Linked DNA regions of Tribolium castaneum. The protein of the gene in region 1 binds, or shares a complex with, the protein of each later gene. Links are inferred from orthologs where the notes say so. Each region holds a gene or a part of one and is shown in the gene's direction. Other genes may lie near its edges. The genes, in order: MED8, MED23, MED9, MED1, MED18, MED21 and MED16.

Region 1 (3,872 bases):
AAATTCGGTAGGTTCCAAAAGTAGGGTTATGTTGTCACCCGAAAATGACAAAATTTACACTTTTATGAATTTTGTCTCCATCTCTGCCCTTTCAGAGCGTTATGATAGGATATTTAGGGTCGAAATCTCTACCTTTATTATGTGCTATTGCCAGATAAGGACAAAAGTTCAGAAAGTAGGGTTAGGGTGTATTATGATCTCTTCTGAAGTGTTAAATTTTAACTTTAATGTTTTTTGTGTGCTTTCCTGCTCTTCTAGAGCGCTATTAATTATTATTGAACATGTTTAAGGACAGACAAATCTACCTTGAGTCAACGACATAAATTTCAGTGAGATTTATTGAAAAATGCACTTCTCGTGTCAACCTTTTCATGAAAAAGGGTGTTTAAACGTTTATAAAGGGTATGTTAACGTGTGTTGTTAACTTTACCACGTAATAAAACATAAAGTATAACTTGGTAATTTTTTACTTTAACTACTTCTGGATTTTCAAGCTGAAACTTACACCAAACGATTCCTCTGAGTGCCCTGATGACCGTACACTATGAATTTTCTTGTGCAAATTGAAAATAACATTAGAAAAATAATTTTTATTTTCACTCACTTTTTACTTGAATCGCCATTTTTGTTGATTTTAATTTGAGTTTATTTTTTATAATATCACGTTAATTTTTATTATTATAGTGGATCAAAATGTCGTCTTTAGGTTAGACTATTGCCTACTATCGGTTAGGAACAACATGATCTCCAAAAATATAACGTAGTAATGAGCTCCAGAAGGTTTACGTAGATAGGTGCGTTTTTCCCAAAAGTGAGTTTTTTGAGATCGAACCGCAAGTGAGTCACACTGCGAGGAGACTCCCATAGACAGAAGTTGCAAACATAAGGTGCCAGACCGGTGCCAGTTTGGCTGATTGCAAGTATGTCTTTATCATCGATTCGGTGACGACTATTAGTTTCGTAAACTTAATGGATTTAATAAATATCTTTAACATTAAATGTGATCGTGTCATGTTGGGTAAAATTCTTCCATCTGTGCTGTCTGTGCATCCACCTTTTCAAATACAATTAAGAAATTTTCATAATAATTGTATTTGATAAGGTATTGGCATCATTTTGACGTGAGCAAAAATTAAAAAAATATAAAGTAATCGGAATTATTTTAAATTCGCGCCATTTTTAGTACGTGATGATGCGGCTAGATGGCTTCAGCTAGGAATTCATTGCCAACCATTATGTTCCGCTTCTATTAAAGTGTTATTCTAGGGCCACAGCCATTGCCGTCTCGAACTCCAGGCCGTCAGGTTACTAGCTTTTGTTTATTGTGACGTCATCGTAAGAGTCGTGACATTTGTTCGCATCGTTTGAATATATTGTACTTTTTGGTGTTTTTGAGAGTGTTATTAAGTAATTTGTTGTTGTTTACGAATTTGTTGTTTTGTGGTTGCGTTGTAGGGAATGAATTTTGTGTGTTTATAGTCTTGTGTGACGTGATTTTGACAATTATAGGTTAGGATAGTTTTGCATTATTTTTGTTTATAAATTTGGTTTTATTGTTTTTAATCGTTTAATTTGGTAATAAATAAGCAGATAAGGCATATTTCAGTCTCTAAACCTAACATACTTAATCCTATTGCATTCCTAATTTTAGAAAATGCCGAATAAGTGTTGTGTTCCCAATTGTGTGTCTAACATGAATGGTCCTTATGTACCTATGTTTTCCTTTCCCAAACAAGAATCCCTGCGATCATTATGGTCAAGAAAGATACCCCGAACTAATTGGACTGTTACCAAGAACAGTCGTGTTTATGTGAAATATTTTCGGGATGATTTTATAATAAAATATCACGAAGTGACTAGAGATGACGTAAAATTCTTCGTCATATTCTTATACTTTCGATCACACTTTTACGACTAATTTAAAACATATTTAGCGAATAATAACATGTTGCATTCCATAAGAACCTGTGTTAAAACTTGGATAAAACGGTCGTCTTTAAGTCGCGGTTATTCAAAATTTAGGCCCATAAGGAGAATTTTTGTATTAATAGACGTAACTTTAGACGTTTAAGTACGGCTAGATGGTTTAAACTATCAAAAAATATAAACTTTAATATATGTTTTTCGGGTAATAACAAACGGATAAGGTACTTTAAATCACAACGTATGTCACTATAAAAATTATAGTTGACCGTTCGTTGACCACATTTGCAGTATCAGGATTCTTTAGATACACTTTTCCGTCGTTTCTTGCATAAAACGTTGGACGCAACATAGTTAAAATTAATTTTTTGCAAAAATTCAGAAAGTTAGGTTATGATCATTTAGACTCTTACTGTGACGTCACAATGTCAACATGCAGGCCTGGAGTTCGAGACGGCAATGCCACAGCCGACATACCGTCATCGTGGTTAAGGTTATGTTTTTGTAAACAGCGCCAAAAATACAGCAAAATGCAACAACGGGAAGAAAAACAACTCGAATCGTCTCTCGATTCCATAATCCAGCGTGTCAACGACCTAAAATCATCGATAGCTTCAATGATTTACAAGGTGGAGAATGAATATGAGACCCTCAACTGGCCCACATTTTTGGACAATTACGCCCTTATGTCCGGCCAACTCACCTCCCTTTCGAAGGTTTTAAGCCACGACAAATGCCCCACCCTCAGAAATCTCACAGTACTGCCCCTCATGTTGTCCCCCGAGCGGGACGAACAATTGGCCCAAATGACCGAACACAGAGTCACAACCTTCGCCCATGATTTAGTCCCAGATTATCTTCGAACCAAACTAGAACCGTTGGCGGAGAATAAAATGATGCAATTGGAACACAAGGCGTCAACTTTATCGTATGAGAACGCACAGGTATGTTAAAATTTTTGGTAGAGTATGTTTCAACGCAAACTTTCAGAAACAAATTGCTGCGTATCAAAAGGTTGTGTCCCACGTTTGGGAACTGGTGAGTAAAGCGAGGGAGGAGTGGGAAGTTGAGTCTTCCGCCAGGGGAAGTACGCAGCAGAATTCCAGTGTGGCTGATACTCACTCGCTTGTGGCGGCTGTTGGAATGGGGAAGGGACTCAAGATGGGGGCGAACCCTAACGGTCAGCCCAATCCCACGTCGGGAGGGATGATGGTGCCTCCGCAGGGGCGCCCAGGGGGCACTCCCGGGCAAGGACAGATGCCCCCCAGCACGCAAACCATGACGATGAATAAGGCGCCCTCTGCTATTAAGACTAACATCAAAAGTGCCACCCAAATACATCCATATGGACGCTAGTGAAATAGTTTTTAATGTGTACGGAGATATATTTATTTATTAAGATATAATCTTACAAAAATAACTAAATATAACAGTGGAAACAAAGATTAACACTTTGTAGCGTAATGAGTAGATTATAAAAAGCATTAATTTTATAGACTTTGAAACTATACTATCAACAAATGGTTGAAGTGTGGCTGGTCGGAACGGGTGGCTTTTCCAATAAGTACAGCGGAACTTGAACATTTTCACGATGTATGTTAGCACATGCTACGCATTATATAAAATATAAAACATATAACATTTAGAATACTTGGGACCCAGTCAAACAAAAATTAACAACTTAAAAAAATATTTTCTACAACGTAACGCGGGTGACTGGACCCTGTTTACGTATAATACGCATTTAAAAAAATATAACAAACAACAAATAAAATACTCTTGTGCATAAATTGCAACTATTCTATGGTCATATATTTTCCTTACATGGCAAGAGAATTTTCCTAAGTTTTTGTTCCCTATATACAAAGTGGTACAATAAAAGAATTCAACTCTTTATACTCTCTAATTTGTTAATATACTTTTGTTTCTTAAAATACTGACCAACAATT
Region 2 (4,282 bases), on another chromosome or scaffold:
TTTGGGCACATTCCCTCGCAAGACCACGTTCTTGCTGGCCTTTTCGTTGGCGAAACGCATCCGCTGTTTGGGAGCCATCGTTCACAGGAAAAAAATACGGAAAAGTGGAAATAATTCAACAGAAAAACATACACACGCGTTTTTGACACGTCCGTGCCTCGACACTGGCCCGAAAAGTGCGGAGAGGGGCAAGGGAGGCGCTTTTTTGACGTTTATTTGACACGTAAGATGAAAATGCGCATGCGCCACGGACGCGTGGAGAATTTCAAACAAGGGAGGGAGTGCTAGAAATTTCCAATGGGTTCATTCAATTTGCAATAATTTATGATAATCAAGTATATGCCTAGTTTTCTTGGTCATTTTCCTATCTTCTATGCATTTTTTTCAAACATCAAAAACAACGTTGAATTTGACTTTTTACCCTGATTTTTAACTCAGATTTTTCAAAAAACAAAAATTTTAAGGTGCATTTATTTCGGCACAAATTTTACATAGATATTGTAAAGGTTTCGTTACTTTTTTGTCAGTATTTTATGCGGTAAATTATGGGAACGTCGTTGAAAGTTACGGATCTTCTGGGTGTGTTTGCGGGAGCGATTCGGTTCGTAATTAAGGACAAGCGTCTCAGACTGTTTCTGAAACTATTCATTCTTGAAAAAGTCCTTTCATTCATGGCATTGGCATTAGCCATGTTGTTGAGGAGCTTTAGCGACATTTCAGGGATTTTCAAAGAGTGGACTTCGGGATTATTATCCAGCCAAGTCAATAATTGTTTCATAACTTTCACCTGTTGGTCAGGAGTGACCTAAAGAAGGATAATTGCACGTTTAATTGCAACAATTAAATTGTACCTTTGTTAGGGCTTGTCGAATTAAGAATTCATCTTTCGTCGACATCCAAATAACGGGAGTTCTTTTGCTGCAAAGCCACATGTAGTTTGATTTCCCAAAAATACTTTCCGCACATTTAATTTGTTGAGCGTGCATTAAAATTTGCACCTAGGGAGAAGAAACAAATAAATTAAAACGATTTAAATGAGTGACACCTCACCTGTTCTATGAACTGTGAGTTCATATCGAAATGTGAGACAAAAAGAACTCTTTAAGCGCATAATGAACGAGACGTGCGGTAATAATATTGCCTTTATTAAAAGATAAGCAAACAAATTTTCACGTATGAAGTGGATATGCAAATAAACGAATAGATTCGGGCTGATATGAATTTTATTACAATGTGGCTAGGTATGGAATAATTTAGATTGACGTTGTTTGAGAGTTGATAACATCTTACAACGCACGCAATTATTTATTATCTCTGAGGATTCACCCAGCAAGTCAAAATAATCGAATACGGTTCTGCAGTGTTAGGCGCTTGTATAATGTGTTGCCTAAACATGTAGTCGGCCAAACATAACCTACCGTTATTATCCCATTCAAATAACCACAAAATAATGTTTTCGCCTGAAAAATAACCGTGGACACGATGGGCGAGCCACTAACAAACGTCCTAACCGACATTCTCAAAGTTGAAGGCATCGAAGAAGCCTTTAGTTGCTTTCTAGTGCACCGCCCCAGTGCCGAAAAGGAAAAGGTGGCTGTATGGCAACAAGAGTTGAACACAGCCCTGCGGAGCATCCCCCAGGAGCAGCTAGACACCGCCCTTCGCCAGTACCTCAACACTGCTGTACTATGTTCCCAAAGCAAGCTCCAGCTCTTGATGGAGCTCCTGGAAAGTGTCGTGCGCAACGGTACCATTGGGGCCCGTATCGTGTGTGAGGTGGTGATGAATTTCGATAAACTACAACACACCAATGCGCGGTTCTGGATCGAGTGCTTTAAACTCGTGCGGAAAATTATAGATTTGGTTGAATACAAGGGCGTTCGCGAAATTATGAAAGTAAGTGGGGAATTGTTGTGGTAATTGTTTGATTGTTGATTGTAGGGATGTTGCGAGAAGGCGAAAAGTCTCCCCTGGCGCTTGAACGCGGGCTTGCAGCCCCAAACCCAGGCTCTTTTAAGCGTCGCTGAACGAATCATGGACAGGAACGCGTGCCTCCTGCCTGGCTATCTCCTAGTGAACGAGCTCCAGAAGGCCTACCCTGACTGCCCCCACTGGCGCCTTGCTGCCCTCTTCTCCGATTACGTTGGCAGTTTTCGGGCCTGTGCCCAAATGGTGGCTATCGTAGGCCAGGCGGAAATGCGGCCAGTTGTGGAGCACAGCGGCTGTCCCGAACACTTGGTCAATCCCTGGAAACTTGACCCGTGCACGTTGCGATTCTCGCTTAAGGGCACTTTACCGTACGCTCCCGAATTACTAGAGAAGCAAACCGGTTTATTACGATACGTTCTGGAACAGCCGTACAGTCGCGACATGGTGTGTGGCATGTTAGGGTTGCAGAAACAGCACAAGAGACACTGTGCCGCCCTTGAGGAACAACTGGTCGAGTTGGTGATTTTGGCGCTGGAACGCACGGAAAATGAGGGCGATGAGAGCGCCACTCAAGGGTTATGGCTGCACTTGTCGTCCCAGTTAATTTATTTTGTTCTTTTCCAATTTGCGAGTTTCCCAAACATTGTTATATCGTTGCATTCGAGACTGCAAGGGCGCGACTTGCGGAGAGGGCGCGACCAACTCATGTGGGTCCTCTTGCAGTTTATTTCCGGTTCGATTCAGAAGAACCCCCTCTCGAATTTCCTCCCAGTTTTGCGGCTTTACGAACTGTTGTTTCCGGAACAGGAGCCCCCTTTGCCCGTTCCGGACTTCAACCAGCCCCAGTGTACGAGACAGATGGCAATGACGTGCATTTGGATCCACTTGACTAAGAAAGCGCAAGCCGAAATGACCAACTTGACTTGGCCAATTCCCGCCAAACTACGCAACCATCATGATTTCCTCCAACAGTTGGTGCCCCCTAATAACACCGTGTTAGCGATGGGAAATGACTACAGAATCGCCTTGTTGTGCAACGCCTACTCAACGAACCCCGATTATTACAGTAAGCCAATGGCAGCGCTAGTTGAGACGATCCAAGGGAGCCCCAAATCAACAGCCCCACCTACCGCGCCTTTAAGCATGGCCGTCTTGGACTCATTAACTGTGCATTCGAAAATGAGCTTAATCCATAGTATTGTCACACACGTGATTAAACTAGCACAGGCCAAGTTAGGAATGCCACTATCACCAGCTTTGGTGGAAACGTACAGTCGCCTGTTGGTGTACACCGAGATCGAATCGTTGGGCATCAAAGGGTTCATAAGCCAGTTGTTGCCAACCGTATACAAGTCACACGCTTGGGGCACCCTTTACACACTTCTGGAGATGTTTAGTTATCGGATGCACCACATCCACCCCCACTACCGTGTCCAGTTACTCAGCCACTTGCATTCGTTGGCAGCGGTGCCGCAAGCCAACCAAACCCAACTGCACTTATGTGTCGAATCGACCGCTTTGCGTCTAATCACGGGGCTGGGCAGTGGCGAAGTTCAGCCCGAACTGAGCCGCTTTTTAGCCGAACCCAAGACGTTAATTTCGGCGGAATCGGAAGAGTTGAATCGGGCGCTGGTTTTGACCCTAGCTAGGGCCACGCACGTGACGGGGGCCGACGGCTCGTGGTGTCACGAGTTGCTGGCGACCATTGCACAAAGTACCCCCCATGCGTGGGCCCCCCACACCCTCGAATGCTTCCCCAGGGCTCTGGCCGAGTTTTTCACGCAACATGCCGTCCCTAAAGAAAACAAACAACAATTGAAGAAAGCAGTGGAGGAGGAGTACCGGAAGTGGTCGTCCATGAACAACGAAAATGACATGATGGCGCATTTTGGGGTTGCGGGAGCGCCCCCACTTTTCCTCTGTTTGTTGTGGAAAATGCTCCTCGAGACTGATCACATCACGCCAATTGCCTACAAAATCCTGGAGAGGATTGGGGCAAGGGCGCTTTCGGCCCACTTGAGGAAGTTTTGTGATTGTCTCGTGTTCGAGTTTAGTAACAGTCCTGGGGGGCAACATGTTAACAAATGCGTGGATACGATCAATGACATGATCTGGAAGTACAATATTGTGACAATCGATCGGTTGGTCTTGTGTTTGGCGCTGCGGACGCAGGAAGGGAGCGAGGCTCAAGTCTGTTCGTTCATCATCCAGTTGGTGTTGCTTAAAGCTACAGAGTTTAGGAATCGGGTGCAGGATTTCGTCAAAGACAACTCGCCCGATCATTGGAACCAGACCAACTGGCACGAGAAACACTTGGAGTTTCACCGGAAATACCCCGAGAAGTTTGCCCCCG
Region 3 (4,296 bases), on another chromosome or scaffold:
GAGCTAATTTACTTTAAATGGAATTGCTTTTCTTTTAAGCGGACGCTCCAATAAACGGACGCAGACAATGCAAATCAGATCCTTGAACACAAAATCTCGCCTTCAAGCAGACAGCATGTTAATTATGACAATTCGTCAGAAAAAAAAGAATACATGTTTTATTCAATAGTAAACTGATTTAGATTCTGGCCTCAGAAGAGGTTTTAAAGTTATGTGTATTATTTATTGTGGCTTAGTGCCAACAAAATTGTCCGTTTGTGAGAGAGTTCCGCTTATAGGTGTCCGTTAAGAGAGATTTCACTGTGTATTTATGCCCAGTAGGGCATGTAAATAATCAATCACCTTGTCGTTATTTTTGTTCTCAATGCCGTATATTTCCTGCAGGAGGTAGCAAAGACCGTCAACGAATAATTTCTGTTTGAGAGCTTTTAAAACATAAGTACCGTCGGACAATTTTTCGGCTGTGGCGATAGTTGTGTGTGATTGTCTCATTTCTGGAACAATCAATTCAAAAATTAAATTCAAAAACGGGTCAAACCAACCCTCAGCGCCTTCCTCCGCCACACAGTGAATGGCAATTGGAATAATCTCCCGGTCAACATCATACAACAACTCCTCTTCTGTGTACTTCGAGGGATCAAAAACGTGAGTCATTTGGCAAAACTGTTGGTTCGCACCGCGTTTGTAATGAAAAGTCTCGGAGGTCGTGTTAGGGTCACGCGGCAAGTACCTTCAAACCCCATAAAATTGCAAACCCATGACAAAAACCCAACTTACGTGACTCCACTTGGTGTAAACTCCTCGGTACAAAAATAGTAGATTGTTATTGCACACCTGACGTCACAATCGAACGTGAACTCGATATTAAACGTCGAGCTCTTGCCCAGCTCAATATCCCTGATGTCCCGCTCGTTCTTTTCCGCCGGTTTGGAATAATCAGCAGGGGCGCGGACAAACCGCAGCGACTCTTTCCGGATGTTCACCAGACTTTTGAGCGTTTTTGTGGGCTCATTAGGCTGGGGCGGGGGGTAGGGAAACTAGAAACGGCACTGTGGGGGCGAAACAACCGCATAATGGCTACTTACAGGGGTTGGTCTACTGCCCAGGAAATTCAAATCGGAGTTCTCGCCGAAGAGGTAAGACTCGGGCTGGGGGGTGTCGAAGCGCTCGCCCCCCATTATAAAGTGGCTCCCGAAGTAGTTCCCTTCAGAAAAACGCCTTCAAGGTAATTGGTACGGAAAAAAGCAAAGCGACATACCAGACCTGGGCGGGTACTTGTACGCGTGGTTTGACACCACGTCCACTTCCTCGACCCCTGCGTGTTGTCTGCTAGCCAACGAACCCATTCTGCGGGCTTGAAATTGCCAAGTTTTTCCAAAATCAGAAATTATTGTTGTTTTTAGTTTGACATTATTATTGACACTTGTGACATTTGAGGCGTCGTCGCCAACACCAGGGACACAAAATCCCTGAGTGAATGTGTCAGAAAATTCATGTGGGAAAGAAAATTCAATGAAAATTCAGGAAATGCCTTGCTATGATGGAATCTGACGAGCACAACCAGGAGTCAGAGAGGAATGTCACGGTGGAAAATTTGAATATCGAGATCTTGCCCATTATCTACGAAATAATACGCAGGTTTGTTGATAAAATTAGTGACAGGCAAAATCGTAATGTCTTGCATAATCATTCAGTGTTGAGAAAGACCACCACGATAACACCGCCAAGGCACGAGAGTCGCAAGACTGTTCCCAGAAGGTGCTCGAGTTGCAAAAACGTTTGGACCAAGCCAGAGCCGAGGTAACTTTCTTCCACCCTAATCACTTCATACCCATAGTAGGGGATACGAATTAGGATCATACTGTACTATCTTCTGGTTACCGGATGAAAATATCTTTTTATCAGAGATAATATCCAAAGTCCAAAGGATTGTATCGCGAATAGGTTTCCTAAAAAAAATGTTCCAGGCCATGGTAAAGGGGGCTAAAAAGCGTCGAATTTTAGCCTTTTTTCAGTATTTTACAACTGAAGGCTACAGGGGAAAAACAACCTCAGTCCACTTGTTTGAGAAAATGAGGTGGGGTTGTAATATTGTAGTTTTTGAGAAAACAATCAGATAATTGAAGCGGGAAATAGCAAATACGACTTCAGTATTGAGCAAAATATGTTACAAATTACACTATAATGAAAAAAGTTATGGTTCCACGTTAGAAAACTTTAAGGATATAATTATTTTTTAGCTCACTGCAATCAAGAAAATAAAAAAAGTTAAGAGGCTTGTTAAAATTTGAATAACTTTAAACTTAAATGAAATACCGTATTTTTTATTTTTGCATCTAAAAGACCTTTAAATTGTCTATTAAAGAACATTAACAGTTAAGTGCTGATTACTCAAAAGATTATACTTAACTTAAAACATTAAAAAAAGTCATTAAAAATTATTCACAATTGTTTCAATAGTCGAAGAGTAAAATTTTCAGCTAATAATAACTTTATTATTTTTCAGTTATTTTTCACAGTAAAATAACTAAAATTTTCTTATCTATGGCGAATTTTTAAATCCCTGTTTAAACTCCAACAAATGATCCGTGGTGAAGTTGCTAAGGTTATGGTAACAGTAATCCTCATGAATAATCTGCATTGTTGATGAAATTAAATTTTAAAGTCAAATATTTGTTTAATTATAAAGGTTAGGCATTTGAAACTTTGTTTTTAAGTAGACAATTTAATAATCTTTGAAAAATAAAAACAAAAACTTTTATTATGTTATTCAACTTTTAACAAACTTCATAATTTTTCTACGTTCCTAATTGCATGCGTTAACCAATTTAACTTTGAACATTCTTAAAAAAATAAGTTTGTATTGTAGCTAATTTCGGAAATATCCTATACAGGATGATTCAAAAATGTTCGACAAACACTCGTATGGTGATAAAAGACGTTCAGTTAAGCACAAAAATGAAGTCAGATTTTTTTATATATTTTTAAGTTTGTATTCCTTAGCAACGGTATCGATTGTTTCTCTTTTGTTTCCTAATATGTTGAATTTAAGATATTGTCGAATTTACAAGTTTTTTTATTGTTTTGCACATAATTAGACATTATTTGTTAATTTTTTTCAACAGGTATTTGTTTAATGTTGCAAGAGATGTCGTTTCTGCTAATTAAGGTCAAAAAAATATGGTCCGAAGCATCAAAAAATTAACTTAAAAATTTAACTTTGAAGAGCTGTAGCTATCTCGTGAAAAAAGACTCAAACAATTTTTTGTCATAGGAACTTTTAATTCAGTTTGATGTCCTTTATCAGCACCCGAGAGATTGTACGAGTACTTTTGAATTACTCTGTATATTTGAAAGTAGTTTTAGATGAGGCAGGTGATTAGTATCTACAACTTAAGGAAAAATAATAATAATAAAAACCCGTTATATGTACGAATAAACAGGTGGTTTCAAATGAACAGCAAAGTTGCTGTTCTCTGCTCTTCCACTTAAACCTTTCAAACAAGAAGAAATATACAGCAAATGAATAAAGACAAAATAAAAAAAAATTGACATAACAAACCAGTACAAAATAACCAGTAGATTCCCATGACTGTCCTTGTTCGGAAAATTATTTGTCAAATATTGCAGCCTTGAAACTATAAGAAGATTCAATTTCTAGAACTGTCGATGGATGCTATTATAATCTTTAGCTACATTAAAAAAGGGACTTTTAAAAGAGACTTGTGCGACTTACGGTAACATTATGTATGTCACGACGGAAGATTATTTCATCAGTGGGACTTGGAAGTAACTATTTTGTGATATAAATAAAGTCCAAGTTTTGTTAATTTGATTTTTATATAGCATGGTCGCCTCACGTCCACTTTCAATTATTTGATCTTTATTTTTTTAAGTTTTCATTTTTTCTTGTTAATTTTCAATACTTTACACAATCATGCAAAATTCGATTGTCTAATTTCAACACTTTTAAATTTGTGTTTGTTAAATAATATTACATTGTTGAAAATGAACCTAGAATGATTCAAAGTGAAAAAACTTGAAAAACTTTATTTATACTCCTTCCTCAAAAGCCCAAGTATGTTGGAATTTCCTGATGCCATAGGCAAACCGGAGACAAGAATTCTGAACCAATTACTTTTCTAACAATTAAAGATAAATAATGGACTTTACCTACTCGCATTTTTGATAAAATAAGCTTCATCCGTTAAACAGATGAGTGCAGAACGACCGTAATTCGAATCTTAGACTACCAACCCCTTGCAGATCCGGCTATTGCCCGGGATTGAGTACAGC
Region 4 (4,197 bases), on another chromosome or scaffold:
GAAGCTTCTCTGTCTTTAAAGCGTTTAATTTTATTCTGTTTTTTTTTAAGAAAAACAAGATTAATAATGATACCAATGTTTTCTAAATACACTTAATTAATTTCTGGAAATGTTTATTGAAGAAGAATATAAATTTTGTTATAAAATTCAATAAAACTATTCGTAAAACTAAAAGGATGAATTTTTATAACTCATTAAACTAATGTATTTACGTGATTTCTGGCAATTTTGAGTTATTTAGTTTATGCTTGTATTACAAAGCAACTTGTTAAAAAAAATAACTACTACAATTTTTTTTCTTTTAATTTTATTACACTAAATCTGCCACTAGCTGTTTCAAAACTATAAAAACAACAACGACGCACTTTACCAAATATTTTTTAAATAAGGTTGATAAAATTGTAAAATAGTTATTAATGATTAGATATCTCATTGAAAGTATAAATTACATTAGTTATTATTTTCTTCAACTGCATGAATAATTTATAACAGCACACATCACAGCAAATTTTGTGAGAAAATGTGACGTTGACGTTTTTATAGTTTTGAAACAGCAAATACAATGGTATAAAGGGGACCAAGGTTCTTCTTTAATATCAGACGATACCTAAGGTGACGGGGGCTATTATTAATTTATTACAGAAATAAAATGTAAAACACCCTTCGTGTAAATTATTTTTTGTTGCATTTGGTTTTTGAAAGCTTTTCATTTTATCTGAATCACATGGAGTAAAATAAAGTAGTCAATCTTGCTTGATTTCTTCTAAAACTCCCTCATATCATGTTTTAACGGTTTGGAAACATTTTTTGTAAAAAACATCTATCTAAGAAATTTTGAAATACAGTAAACTAAGCAATTTTATGTGATTTTTGTTGAATGCCTACAAAATAATAAAAAAAAACATTATGTGGTATAAACTAACGCACAACGTATTTGATTTCTTTATAAAAAAAAAAACGAGAATAAACTATTCAAAATTTTGGAAATGTGCCTATGGTGTACTATTATCTTAGTTGTGATGTGTTAGCGGGCATTTGCTCCAGTTCTGGGGGAAGATGAGGAGATTATCGTGTCAGCAACTTCTTGCGATCTAAAAAGTTGAAAAGTTGTAGCGAATTACGGCTTTAATTGTCATTGACGGATCTAATACGAAATTCGTTGGTAAAAAACGCGGATTAATTCCGGGAGTTTGTTTTACGACCACATTTCATTAAAATATTTGCGTTGCAATAAGCACAACATATGTGCCACCAATTCAAAGCACTCCAAAGTATCAAATCTTGATAAAGTTGAGAGTTGGTAAACACAAATGAATGGAAAAGCACTTGAATATTTTTATTGTTATTGTTATTATCAGACACGAGTTTGAATTGGGCGCCGGTGGCGTAGCCAAATATCCCTAAATTGGGGAAAGTAACGAAACTGTCAAGTTTTTGTTTGGTGCTGATGTATGTTCGAAAAATCGGTTTTTTTCCCTTAATTCGCCCCAAATAGAAAATGTTTACGAACATTTAACGTTAATTTCGCCCGAACTCATCATGAATCGCGTAACAAACGGTGGGTTGCGCGCCCCAGCCAAGAGTTTGACTTTTGACATTTACAACTTTGTTTACTTTTAAGGCAATTTAGCGATGCCACCGTCCGTTGTGGACAAATCCAAAGACTGGCAGTTGGAGATATTGATGGAGAAGCTGCGCTCGAAGGCGTCGCAGTACAAAAGCTTGACAGAGATATCCAAAAATGTGCGAATGGCCATGCTTGTAGGTTATGTCATGTCTGGCACTGCCTCCATTGATGCCCTACTTTCAGGACAAGCGCTACGCGTTGGACAGCGTCGAGAAGAGCCAGCACCAGAAATGCCTCGACACTCTGCAGCACTCCATCAAAGTGACGTCCTTGCAGAGCATGATCGAGCGGCTGGAGAGCTTGACGCGGCAGCTGGGGCTCAAGTTCATGGTGGGCCCCTCGGGGGTGGAGCTCTTCATCTCCTCCGACATGTTCTACCTGGAGATAGTGCTCGACCAGACGGGGGCCGTCAAAGACGTGAAAGTGCACCATGACAGTAAATTGGAGCAACAGAGTTGCGCTGAGCTCGTCAATTGTTTATCTAGTGGCGATTTTGCCGATTTCACTGCCCAGTTGGAAGGTTTTGCCTCGATTTACCAGCTCAATGCTGAGAAAAAGGTCAAGTGTAAGGCGTTCACAGCCTTGCAGTCGCTGGAGTCTGATTTGAGCACCTTGGCTCACTTGCAGTCTTTCATGAAGGAACCTTTCAACCTGCTGTATAAGTCTCCGGTTGGGGTGCTGGAGAAGCGCCGAGGGGGACACCCCATGAAACTCACCTATTTTGTCTCTCCTTATGATTTATTAAATGTTGAGAAATGTGATATTGAACCTATTACTGTTGATACGATCGTTAGTAAAGCGCTGGGGTACAGTGTGACGGTGTGTATGGAAGGGTCCGCTACACATAAGTTGCAAACGACCACTCTCATCACAGTTAATAGGAATATTAACGGGAAAAGGTAAAAATTATTAAAAAAAATTTTTTTTTCTTTGAGGGAAATTTATTTTAGTACGCCGTCTTTTTCATCGCTAAGTAGCCAAAATAGTGCAGCAATTCCGGCCTGTTTTGTCCTCAAATTAAACAAACCAATGCCAATGTGTGTCAATTTAGTTAGACAAATTCAACAAGTTACTGAATTGGATACTATAGAACAATCAGCAACTCATCCGTTACTTAGTTTAATAGTACATCACGCCAGTGAAGGGAAAATGGAGTCTGGGAACAATAAGGGCCTTTTTGTGGTAAGTGGTTGGCAATAATATTTATAAAAAAATGGTCATGTTGACTACTGATTCTCCTAGTTTGCGGTACAAACTTTTCGAGAGCCAAAAAATGGTAAATAATCAAAAATAATCTACTTAATGAAGTTCCTCTGACATTAAAAAATTCTAAAATCAGCAATTTTAAACATAAATACAAAATGTTTCTTACAAAATGATTTTTCTTATGTGTTTTTTTGCTCTATAATTTTGTTAAATAGAATTAGATATTTTATTATTATTATATTTTTTATTTTTTTCTTCAATCAAATTGTTTATTTTTTTGTTATTTCTCATTTATTGTCTGGGTCAAAACCTTGATCAGCTTTGCTGTCTTTTGGTCCACTTTGTGGTAGGAACAACTCGTAGAAAATTTTAATTTTGTTATCGTATTTTTTTTCTTGTTGTAATTAATTATATTGTAACTGTTTTACTGCCACAAATAAATTATTATTATTATATTATTATTAAAAAAACAATTAATTTCACGTCAAAAAATAGTTAATTAACCACCTCAATTCTTGATATATAAGCAGCCATTTCATTTTAACGGACGGGACACTATAGATTTTTTACCAATTTTTATCACCAGTATCAGTAGAAGTGAATTTTTCTTTATAGGAACTTAGTACCAGTCAAACAATTTGCAACCTACAATAGTCGGAGCCACATTTGTAAAATTTGAAATATGAGCAGGAAAAAGAATACAAATTGGTGACGGACGGGACACAAAAAAGACCTTACATTTTTATCGCTAAACAATCTTTATAAAATTCTGTTAATTTAAAAGGCACTAATTCTAAGAATTACTTTATAAATAAATGGTAGATTTTGTTGAAACTTTTGAAACCACGATTAATTTACTTTTTGTTTACACATGGCGGATGGGACAAAAAAATCTTGTGTATGAAAATAACTCTAAAAAAATTATTTAGGCAGGTTTTAATTATTAAAGATTTTAACAATATCAAAATTAGACTGGAAATTAGAAACTTATGTCCTGTAATTGTTTTTTTTAATTAATAATTTGAATATTTAATAATATATAAATTAATGCTTAGTCAAGGCATCCCTAATAATTTCTTCGAACCTTCTCCCAAATACAACGCATTCTTTTTCTGGAGTTTGAGGGGGTTTCAAATTTGAAAAAAATCTCAAAAAATTCACACGTTATTCACAACCTATCCTCAGCCTCTCTACTAAAATTTAATTAATTTTAAAAATCTTAAAAATAAATTAGTTTTAGATTCACAAGTTTTAATAATAACACTAAATCTAAATGTGAAAAAAATATGATTTTTTTGTTTTTATTTTTTTTTATCAAATCTTTTCTTTTAAGATTAAGGACCAGTTTCGCATTATAATCCCTT
Region 5 (2,553 bases), on another chromosome or scaffold:
TATTCAATATGTTATAGGCAGATAAATCTACCTTTGAGTCAACGACATAAACTTCAGTGTGATTTATTGAAATGTATATAGGGCAAGAATGAACTTTTCGTGTTAAACATTTTGATGAAAAAGGACGTTTAATCGTTTATAAAAGGCATGTATAGGTGTGTTAAGTTTGCCATATAATAAAACATAAAATACAACAACTTTTCTATAAAAGCATTTTGCAGAACTCTTATTTATTATTTTCACTATTTTCCTCCTTTTATTTGTGCAAACGAGCCGTTGATGTGAAATTTTGGTGTGAAAATTACTGGTATCGCCACAAATTGTGTTAAATTTAAGTCTCCAGAAAATTCGGTTTTAAAAGTAGGGTTATGTTATCATTTGGAAATGTCAAATCTTTCATTTTTATGGATTTTGTGTCTGTTTCTGCTCTTTTAGAGCGTTATTAATTACTATTGAATATGTTATGGACAGATAAATTTACCTTTGAGTCAACGACATAAACTTCAGTATGATTTATTGAAATGTATAAAGGGCAAAAATGAACTTTACGTCTTAAACATTTTGATGAAAAAGGGCGTTTAATCGTTTATAAAGGGCATGTTAAGGTGTGTTAAGTTTACCACGTAATAAAACATAAAGTACAACAACTTTTCTATAAAAGCATTTTGCAAAATTCTTATTCGTTATTTTTACTATTTTCCTCATTTCCTGTAATAACTGATTCGCCCTTCGGAGGCCATTCTGAATACTGTAATGAATTTTTAAAGATAAAATTTGCGAAATCGGAAAATTTTAAAGAATCTTTAAAAATTCATTAAGGTCCCAAGGGGTGTTTGTCCGAACATGATTTTTAACAGTCAAAGGCCCTATCGAAGAGCTTAATCTCCTGCAAAAATAAAGAAAATTGCATATAAAGGGGGTGAAAAAAAATCAGTTTGCATTGCTTGAATATGAGAATAAAAAATGCAGAAATTAAATACAGTTAAGTTTTAATTTGTAATAGAAACTCATTACAATGGTCAGGAGATGTTCTACAAATGTGTTATGCAAGTCAGCGTAACAACTTATTGATGTTTTTATAATGAATTACGATTATTTTGATAATTTTCCTGGTGTGAACTTGGCTGTAGAAAACGAGAATGGTGGGGAAACGGTGCTAGCTCCATGCGCGCAGCCCTTGTCTGGTCGACTGTAATTTTCATGGTGCCACCACCATTTTTGGGGCTGTCTCCGCCGACATACACTGACAACTTACACTTCAATCAAAACATAACCTCCAAAAACTGTGATAATCTTCAGTAATTGTCGGAAATAGGCCGTTTTCCGCAAAGTGATTGTCACTGTTACAGAAATGGGGACTCCTGGCACGGCCATCGACTCCCTAAACGCCGCCCTCAAATGCAACATAATCCCCAACCAGGAGTACCTCCTCCAGGGCTCAGTCTTGGACCAATACGTCGAGGTGCTCCTCCACCGCTTGCGCGGGCTGTGCGACAACGTAGACAGCGGCCCTGAGTCGTTCCACGACCACGAATTGTGTTTCACCCTCCGGGCCACCAACCCAGGGGCCCCCATGGTGCTCCCACTGCGAGTCCGGCGAGCCCTCGACGTGCCCGACGCCGCCTGGCAGCTGCGCTACGTGGGGCAACAGGAGCTAGGCGACAAGAACCGGCCAACAGTCGTCAGATCGAGTATTGACATGGCTTGCAGTTCCACAATTGTTGAATTTTTGACCGAGCTTGGATGCAGAGTGGATTTTGAGTACATCGCCCGGGGGTACATGTTCCGCAAAGGCAGGATGAAAATCACAGTGTCGAAGATTTTCAAAATGGGGAGCATGACGAGTAAGCCGGGCGAAGGCGTAGAAGCGATTTCCCAGAGTTATTTAGTTGAATTGTCCGTTTTGGCCCCGAGTGGACAAGATGCTATTGCGGAGGATATGAGAATTTTTGCCGAGCAGTTGAGGCCGTTGGTTCAGCTTGAAAAAATCGATTATAAAAGACTTGGAAATTTACCGTAATTTATTTATAAATAAAATACAATTAAGATTTAACTAACAACAATCTATATAGCCTTGAAAAATCCTTAAAAAATATTGCCAAACCTTTCCCTAAAACCCTGAATATGTCTTTTTATACTTTTTTAAATAAAAAAGTTAGGGGGTGTCTACTAAAGTGATGACACCTGGTATTTTAACTACTTTCCCAAACTTTGACTGATATCTTAAAAACTAACAGCAATCTACACAGCCTTGAAAAATCCTTAATAAAATATTGCTTAACCATTCCCTAAAACCCTGAATATGTCTTTTTATACTTTTTTAAATAAAAAAGTTAGGGGGTGTCTACCAAAGTGATGACACCTGGTATTTTAACTACTTTCCCAAACATTGACTGATATCTTAAAAACTAACAGCAATCTACACAGCCTTGAAAAATCCTTAAAAAAATATTGCTAAACCTTTCCCTAAAACCCTGAATATGTCTTTTTATACTTTTTTAAATAAAAAAGTTAGGGGGTGTCTACCAAAGTGATGACACCTGGTATTTTAAC
Region 6 (2,788 bases), on another chromosome or scaffold:
ATCATCGTCATCAAACAAGCCCTTACCCCCTGAAAACAACCCCTTAGGTTCGTCCAAAGGCGGCGGTTCATCGAAAAATAGGTTATCTGGAATTAGCGTTTAGTCTGCGGTCCGCTTCCAAAAACAATTACCGTATTGTGGCGTTTTCTGGATTGGCCGTCGATTGACGTACTCTTGATCAATCACGTTCCCCAATTTCGCCGCCAACTCTTCGGCAAAGTTGGTAGTTGGTTGCACCGGAACTGAGTTTTCACTATCACTCGAATTGACGAAATTTTTCGGTTCAGTTCGCAAGTCCTCAGAACTGGTATCAGAGGTGCCCTTGATCTGGAAAAAGAACCAGATATTGCCCATGGCGACTGGATCGCGACTAAACAAAAAATTCGGTTGGCCGGTTAATAGACCAATAAAATTATGATAATGAATGGATCAAGTGCAACTCAACCAGTGGAAAAACATGTGTAAAGTACCTGTGTTCTGTCGGGAATAATTGGCAACTCTGATTCTGAGTCGCTTTCACTGAAATTATCTGAGACTTTCTCAGTTTCGCTATCGCTGGACGAGTCCTCCAGGCCCACGTGCCACGTCTTTTGCCACTCTTCTGAGCCGATTACGTACGGAAGGGGGCGCTCCAGGTACAAGTCTTTGGGTCTGAGGACAAAACTGGAAAAGACAAACTAGTTTTTGTAAATTATTTAGAAAAAAATTACTTGGGCAAGTCGATATCGTCGTCTTCACTGTCACTGACCGACACCTCAACCTTCTCAAAATACGTCTCCAAGACCTCCAAACCCTTCAAAGCCGCCAACCTGATTTCCTCAGTCTTATCAACCTCTTTCTCCTCGGCTTTCGCCTCAACCGGCTCCTCCAAAGTCTCATCGTCCTCATAAACCCGACTTTCAATAAACTGGCTGTTTCGCAAACTTTGAAACTCGTTTTGGGCTATATTCAACTGGAGACTTGTCTCAGACAGGGAGCTTGTCAAATTTTGCAAGTTATTGTTGATTTCGGTTGTTCGAGTCAGGAGATTCTAAAAATTGAACGCTGAAACGGTTCAATGTGGGCCAAAAATGCGAAATACGTCTGCAAAAGCCTTGAGAGTGTTCAAAAGGGCCACATCTCCGGCTAAATTCCAATTGTCCGAATTTTGGATTATTTCGTCCATGGACCATGGTCGCTCCCACGGCTTGGCCCCGGACATTTCTAAAGCGCTGAACAGGCCTGTAATTGCTATTTTTCATTAATAATAATAATAATTTGACATCTGTCAAAAACTGACTTGGGGACTTTCAACTCGTGGGTTGGCTATTACTCCCCGGTTTTGCGTTATTATTTGATTAAATAAAACCAATTAATTTGTAAATAAAACCGTTCTACTATATTTGAAATCAGGCGTGATAACTAAAATGTAACTTCGGCCCGGTGGGATTAATTTACGCAGACTTTACCCAACCAGATTTGGGTTGGCAATCATGTGTGTTTGTTTTTGCAAGATGTCATTCACCTTCTAGTATTATTCTAGTTATTTCGTACGAATTAATATATTTTGTCGCATATTAAACCTCGGGAGATAACAAATTATCATCAGTGTTGGTTTTTATGTGATTTCGGGTCTTATCACTTGTCGGTGATTGGGTAACATAACCTCAATGGCCGATCGTTTGACCCAGCTCCAGGATTGCATAAATCAGGTAATTCCCCCTAAGACTGTACCACTAATTGCATTCGTGTTGTCGCAGCAAGCCGAGCATTTCTGCAACAGCATTGGGATTTTGCAACAGTTCGCCCCTCCTAGCAAATTCCCAAACTTCGACAGGAGTGGCTCCCAAACCCCCCAGCAACAGAACCAAGAAGACTACGTCCAGTTATTCACAACGTTGATTGCGCGCTGTGCCAAAGACATAGATACTTTGATTGAATCGCTCCCGAGCGAGGAAAATTCAACCGAATTACAGGTACCTATCTACAATGACTTGGTCCGACCGCGGACTAAACACTGTTTCAGTTGCAAAGCTTGCGAATTTTGGAATCAGACAATCAAGAGTCTGCTGAGCGTCTCGAGGCTATAGTTCGTAAAGGTCAGGATCTCTTGGAGCAAATCCAGGCGGCGTTGAGCGACATCGCCCAATCACAGCTGGACATGCAGCATTTGACAAAAGCGGGGAGTAAGGATAGTTAAGTGAGCTGTTAATGAATTTTATTTGCGGTTGTGATGAAAAACAAACACAAATAACCATGTACTATTTACAGAAACATATATACAAATAAAAAAGATAATTTAAATTTTATATAGTAACTAACTCGGTTTAAAGTCTGTCTTGTTTCCCTTTAATTAAGTGTTCCTCGACACGTGGCCGCGCCACACAGACACGGGATTTTCTCGTCCTCGATCGGGAATTTGTAATCGTAAGTAATTTCCTCGTTCACACCTATGCTCTGTTTCGAGTAGATCACTATTTTCTTTTGCGACTCGATTGTGATGACTTTGGCGTAGCAATTCGGCTGTAAAAATCATTTTTTCGGGTTATGGAAGACTGTCGCTTAGGAAACGAAACGAGATACAAAATCGTACCCAAAATGTAAAAATGAGGGCGCTTTGAGCATTATACTGTCTCGGCGCCAAGTCGTTTTAAATTAATTTAAAAACAAATGGACAAATCAAGAACACAAGAAAAATCCTACGAAGAAATTTATGGAGAATAAAATTTTCTATTACACGTACACCAAGAATCATTTAAAAACACATTGTACCTACACCGTTGAAAATGGAAATATGTTGTCGCAAACT
Region 7 (3,961 bases), about 770 kb from region 1:
GTCACGCCCACCCCCCTGCTGACTGGCTGCGTAATTCGATTGACTTACACTACCATTAGTGGGGAGGTGGATATCTATTTCTATGTAACAATAGATAGATATGCCCGTACTCTTATTTCTTGTCGTGACTATGCTTGTGTTTGAAATAATGGTTTGTGAAGTTTTATCAGATTTTTACACGTCGACTAGGTATCACAAACCACTATTTTGCGATTTTAATTTTAAACTTTGCTTCCTTTTATACATCGTGAATGGGGCTCTTCGCTCTGGCTCATCTATTTTTAAATATTCTTTATATAATAATTTATTTTAAGATTTTATGTAATTTTATAGTGAAATTCGACAACGTTAAATTTTCCCCGATTGAAACTTTTAAACGCACAATTCGTGTCTACCAATAAGAATGAAACGATGTGTAATTGTTGCTTGTGCATATTACCTAATTCCCCTAAGTACTTACGCTTTTGCATTTATTTTTTAAAAACGAATAACATTCCTCTCAAGTGACACTATCCGATATCTCTAGCGTTATTTCCCAGATGCCCTACAGTTATTAAAAATCGGTACTAATTTATGAAAGGCGTTGTTTCTTGGTTGTTTTAGTCACAACTTATGTCTTCATTATTTTAAGATTGTTATTAAAGGCATTGTTTATACAGTTATAGGCCATTATGAAAATATTTTTTGTATTATACACTTAGAATATACAATAAAAGTCCTTTACAATTTTCGTTGCAATTTATTCAAACCACCTCCACGAAATAGAGTTTGCTAAATTCTTATAGCACCCACTGGGGCATGACTACTTTAAAAAAAGGTTACTAAATCAGGGGTTTTTAAAGCAGTCGCATGTGGACTTGCTTTACTATTGCAAGGTTTGAAAAGGAACTGAAATAAGACATCCAGTATTTAAACACCAATATCCAATTAAACTCCGCCCAGGTGGGTACTTCTCGTATTTGGATACTTTTATGTTGTCCCTCGTAACGTTGGCAATGTTTCGCGCGCAACCAGTATTGCATCTCCCGAGAATGTACACTCATGAGAATTCTCTACTAATCGCTAACCTTTTATTTTTTTTTCTATCCATCAAACCTAAACTCAGAGCTTACACAATTCGAACAACACTTCGTAATTTACTTTTGTGAGCAATTTTATGAGAATAGAAGATTTCTCGTCAGCGTACATTCACGCGTATGCCCGACAGCTGTCAGGTGTCAAAAATCTGCCAATTCAGTAAAGTTTTAAAAAGATGCTTCATTAGATAAATACCGAAAAATGGACCATATTTTCACCATTAATAAGAAAATAAATAAATCGGTGGACACCAGCAAGCATCTATCATTCACCAAGTACCGCCCAAACGAAAGTTAACCATTTACCAACCGTTTGAATTCCAGACTCGAGAAGTCAACCTTATGCTCGATTTCAAGCTCCAACGTTGTTGCTTTCAGCACGGAATGCAATATCGAAGAAGCGGGTTCCCTCTTTTGGAACTCTAATGTCTACGTCTGCGATTTAAACAGTCCCTGGCAGGTCCACAAGTACGTCCCCAAAAACACTTTCCTGTATTAAACCTCCATTTCCAGAATATTATCAAACTCTTCCCCCATTTCGGTGCTCCAGTGGGACTTTACGGGCGACCTTCTGCTAGTCGCGGACGAAAACGGCTCGATAAAAATTTACAAAGCTAAAGACCACATCCTAAATGACTGGACCCTTGTCCTCCAGACTGTCCTAGAAGGGGAGCACATTCTGTCAGCGGCGTTTTTCCACTCGGGCAAGAAAATCTGCCTCAACTCTGAGAAAAAAGACAGCGCTTTGTACACGGAAAAGTTTCACCATGTCAAGTTTGCCTGCTCTGTTAAACAGTTTGGGGGGCGCCCTGCCAGTGGGGCCCTGCTACTCACAACGACGGGAATGTTGTGCTCGATTTTACTCCCCCAAAGCACGAGCCAGGTCGCAATGGTCATGGCGACAGAAAGCCTGGCCCCTACTAGGATTTTTATCAAAGCTGCTGATATTTGCTATGGCAAAAGTAGGTTTTTTACAAAATCATTTAAACACCAAATAATGTTATTGTGTAGACGGTCATTTTTTGCTCGCTGTGAGTAACGGAGACTTATCAATGCCTATTCAGTGTTATAAAGTCTCTGTCAGGAAAGCTGAAGATAAGTGTGTCATCACAAGCCAGTCTTTACTCAGTTTTTTTCTATTTGAGGCGCCTAAGGAAGCATTAAGTAACAAACTGAGTCATTTAAGCCGTTGTTTAACGTTTGTTTTAGTGGAACAAGTTTCCAAAGAAAAAAATTGCCACATAAGTCATATCAAATGGATAATGAGAGAGGACGCAGATTCGGTGGTTGTTTCAGCCACTAGTGATAAAATAAGCTGTTTGCAAGTGTGGGAATTGAGAGAGAAGGCTTTGCCGGTTCACAAATCACTAGGAAAATCTGAAACTCCCCAGTTTTTTAACACTGTCGTACGTCTATTATCTCATCATGTGATAATCGATACTTACTTATTTTTTAGTTGTGGCAATACCAGTGCCACTTCCAGTATAACAGCAAGGTCACTTCACTAGCTACAAGTAAACTAAGTCTATTAAATAATGTTTCAAGTGGTTATGTCGTGGCCACATTTGCCGACAATTCCATCCATTGCCTCTACAGAGACACTCTAAAACATTTGGTCAGCACCACTTTGACCATTTGTCCGCGTTATTTTGACGAACCTCTCGCCAGATACCCCAAAACTAGCATCAAAATCTCAAACATTGACATGTCCTGGCTCGGCAATATTTTACTCGTGATTGATTCAGACGATAGTCTGCATATGTTTAAGTTACCGCCCCAAATCGACAGCTCAACGCCTCTAAGTGTACCTTACTGTACCACGATTTTAGAGTATTGCATGATGAGCGGTTTTGATTGGTTAGACTTGTTGCTAGTGTTAAGACCTGGAATGTTGGACGCGATATGTGACCGACTCACCGAAAGTTTTAATCGCCAGCCCTCGGCAGTGCAACAGTTTTTCTACGTGCAGTATTTGTGCATGAAAATATCGCTATGCAGGTAGGTTCCTAGTTTACCGACATTGGGTGACAAAATTTTATTATTTAATTATTGTTTTAAATAGAAAGCTTATGATTTTACTGTATTTTTGTATTATGCGAGATATTTTAAGGAGTTTTTACCAGTTTTTTTATAGCAAAGTTAACAGTTTTTGTAATATTTATATTTTTTTGATTTGCACCTTCTTTTTCAAAAATCGAAGTTCCTGTAGAGTATTTCAAAGAAAATGATTAGATTTTTTTCAAATTTTAAATTCCGTAAAGAGTGACAAACTCTAAATTTGAAAGATTACGTTTGAAGAAATTCAACTACTTAAAACACAATTTTGCCAAATTGATTCTTTCTTTACTAAATGAAGAAAAAAACTACCAGTAATTTTGCATCGAGCCAACTATAACCACCATAATATTTTTCAAGTTATTTATAAAGCTTAGGGTTACATTAAAAAAAATGAGATGTTCCCAAACGTAACTTTAAAATGTTTTTTTTAACTTTTTTGAAAACACCAATAAGGGAATAAAGCTTTCTCTTCTAAATGCCCAAATACGATTTCGAAATATTATAAATGACAATGTTGTCGATTTTTGAAAGGGAAGGTGCAAATCTAAACAGTTTTAAAAAAATATAAATACATATCTAGAAAACAAAAGGAAACATAAACACAAAATATTTGAGAAAAATTTGAGTAGCCAAAAAAAAGCAATAAAGAATATAGCTTTTCACTAAAAAAAATGTTTCCAATTTCTGTATAAGCGGAAGTGCCACCACCTTGAAAATATTTTGATACCTGACTAAACAAATTTTTTGATGAATATTGTTATTGGAACCGGAAACACTTTTAATGTGTGCTTTAGGCGCAACACCTCGAATTTTGCGAGTAAAATTCA

What was found.
Region 2: MED8 (region 1) and MED23 share a complex: the UniProt entries of both Drosophila melanogaster proteins name them as parts of the mediator complex. The link is inferred for Tribolium castaneum from reciprocal best matches to the Drosophila melanogaster genes MED8 and MED23.
Region 3: MED8 (region 1) and MED9 share a complex: the UniProt entries of both Drosophila melanogaster proteins name them as parts of the mediator complex. The link is inferred for Tribolium castaneum from reciprocal best matches to the Drosophila melanogaster genes MED8 and MED9.
Region 4: MED8 (region 1) and MED1 share a complex: the UniProt entries of both Drosophila melanogaster proteins name them as parts of the mediator complex. The link is inferred for Tribolium castaneum from reciprocal best matches to the Drosophila melanogaster genes MED8 and MED1.
Region 5: MED8 (region 1) and MED18 share a complex: the UniProt entries of both Drosophila melanogaster proteins name them as parts of the mediator complex. The link is inferred for Tribolium castaneum from reciprocal best matches to the Drosophila melanogaster genes MED8 and MED18.
Region 6: MED8 (region 1) and MED21 share a complex: the UniProt entries of both Drosophila melanogaster proteins name them as parts of the mediator complex. The link is inferred for Tribolium castaneum from reciprocal best matches to the Drosophila melanogaster genes MED8 and MED21.
Region 7: MED8 (region 1) and MED16 share a complex: the UniProt entries of both Drosophila melanogaster proteins name them as parts of the mediator complex. The link is inferred for Tribolium castaneum from reciprocal best matches to the Drosophila melanogaster genes MED8 and MED16.

Annotation. Positions count from the first base shown.
Region 1 is NC_087396.1:15,801,447-15,805,318, reverse strand, and holds MED8 (mediator of RNA polymerase II transcription subunit 8), read left to right. Parts: upstream 1-1,264; 5' UTR 1,265-2,348; coding exon 2,349-2,867; intron 2,868-2,913; coding exon 2,914-3,279; 3' UTR 3,280-3,372; downstream 3,373-3,872. UniProt on the Drosophila melanogaster protein: Component of the Mediator complex, a coactivator involved in the regulated transcription of nearly all RNA polymerase II-dependent genes.
Region 2 is NC_087394.1:35,203,805-35,208,086, reverse strand, and holds the start of MED23 (mediator of RNA polymerase II transcription subunit 23), read left to right. Parts: upstream 1-1,482; coding exon 1,483-1,896; exon of another isoform or gene 1,897-1,941; coding exon 1,942-4,282. Other genes in the region: stress-associated endoplasmic reticulum protein 2, read right to left, coding at 1-78. UniProt on the Drosophila melanogaster protein: Component of the Mediator complex, a coactivator involved in the regulated transcription of nearly all RNA polymerase II-dependent genes.
Region 3 is NC_087395.1:15,956,684-15,960,979, reverse strand, and holds the start of MED9 (mediator of RNA polymerase II transcription subunit 9), read left to right. Parts: upstream 1-1,496; 5' UTR 1,497-1,537; coding exon 1,538-1,638; intron 1,639-1,694; coding exon 1,695-1,800; intron 1,801-4,266; coding exon 4,267-4,296. Other genes in the region: Mrgn1 (E3 ubiquitin-protein ligase MGRN1), read right to left, coding at 343-494, 543-730, 778-1,037, 1,086-1,218, 1,264-1,346. UniProt on the Drosophila melanogaster protein: Component of the Mediator complex, a coactivator involved in the regulated transcription of nearly all RNA polymerase II-dependent genes.
Region 4 is NC_087399.1:8,918,250-8,922,446, reverse strand, and holds the start of MED1 (mediator of RNA polymerase II transcription subunit 1), read left to right. Parts: upstream 1-1,397; 5' UTR 1,398-1,539; coding exon 1,540-1,558; intron 1,559-1,621; coding exon 1,622-1,761; intron 1,762-1,810; coding exon 1,811-2,526; intron 2,527-2,577; coding exon 2,578-2,809; intron 2,810-4,197. UniProt on the Drosophila melanogaster protein: Component of the Mediator complex, a coactivator involved in the regulated transcription of nearly all RNA polymerase II-dependent genes.
Region 5 is NC_087394.1:9,286,578-9,289,130, forward strand, and holds MED18 (mediator of RNA polymerase II transcription subunit 18), read left to right. Parts: upstream 1-1,140; 5' UTR 1,141-1,298; intron 1,299-1,349; 5' UTR 1,350-1,351; coding exon 1,352-2,020; 3' UTR 2,021-2,053; downstream 2,054-2,553. UniProt on the Drosophila melanogaster protein: Component of the Mediator complex, a coactivator involved in the regulated transcription of nearly all RNA polymerase II-dependent genes.
Region 6 is NC_087401.1:8,393,385-8,396,172, forward strand, and holds MED21 (mediator of RNA polymerase II transcription subunit 21), read left to right. Parts: upstream 1-1,461; 5' UTR 1,462-1,649; coding exon 1,650-1,691; intron 1,692-1,739; coding exon 1,740-1,955; intron 1,956-2,005; coding exon 2,006-2,179; 3' UTR 2,180-2,288; downstream 2,289-2,788. Other genes in the region: FAM21 (WASH complex subunit 2A), read right to left, coding at 1-86, 132-327, 471-663, 711-1,030, 1,082-1,201; Set1 (histone-lysine N-methyltransferase SETD1B), read right to left, coding at 2,329-2,502. UniProt on the Drosophila melanogaster protein: Component of the Mediator complex, a coactivator involved in the regulated transcription of nearly all RNA polymerase II-dependent genes.
Region 7 is NC_087396.1:16,567,347-16,571,307, reverse strand, and holds the start of MED16 (mediator of RNA polymerase II transcription subunit 16), read left to right. Parts: upstream 1-1,161; 5' UTR 1,162-1,278; coding exon 1,279-1,352; intron 1,353-1,400; coding exon 1,401-1,544; intron 1,545-1,589; coding exon 1,590-2,038; intron 2,039-2,087; coding exon 2,088-2,240; intron 2,241-2,285; coding exon 2,286-2,482; intron 2,483-2,532; coding exon 2,533-3,074; intron 3,075-3,961. UniProt on the Drosophila melanogaster protein: Component of the Mediator complex, a coactivator involved in the regulated transcription of nearly all RNA polymerase II-dependent genes.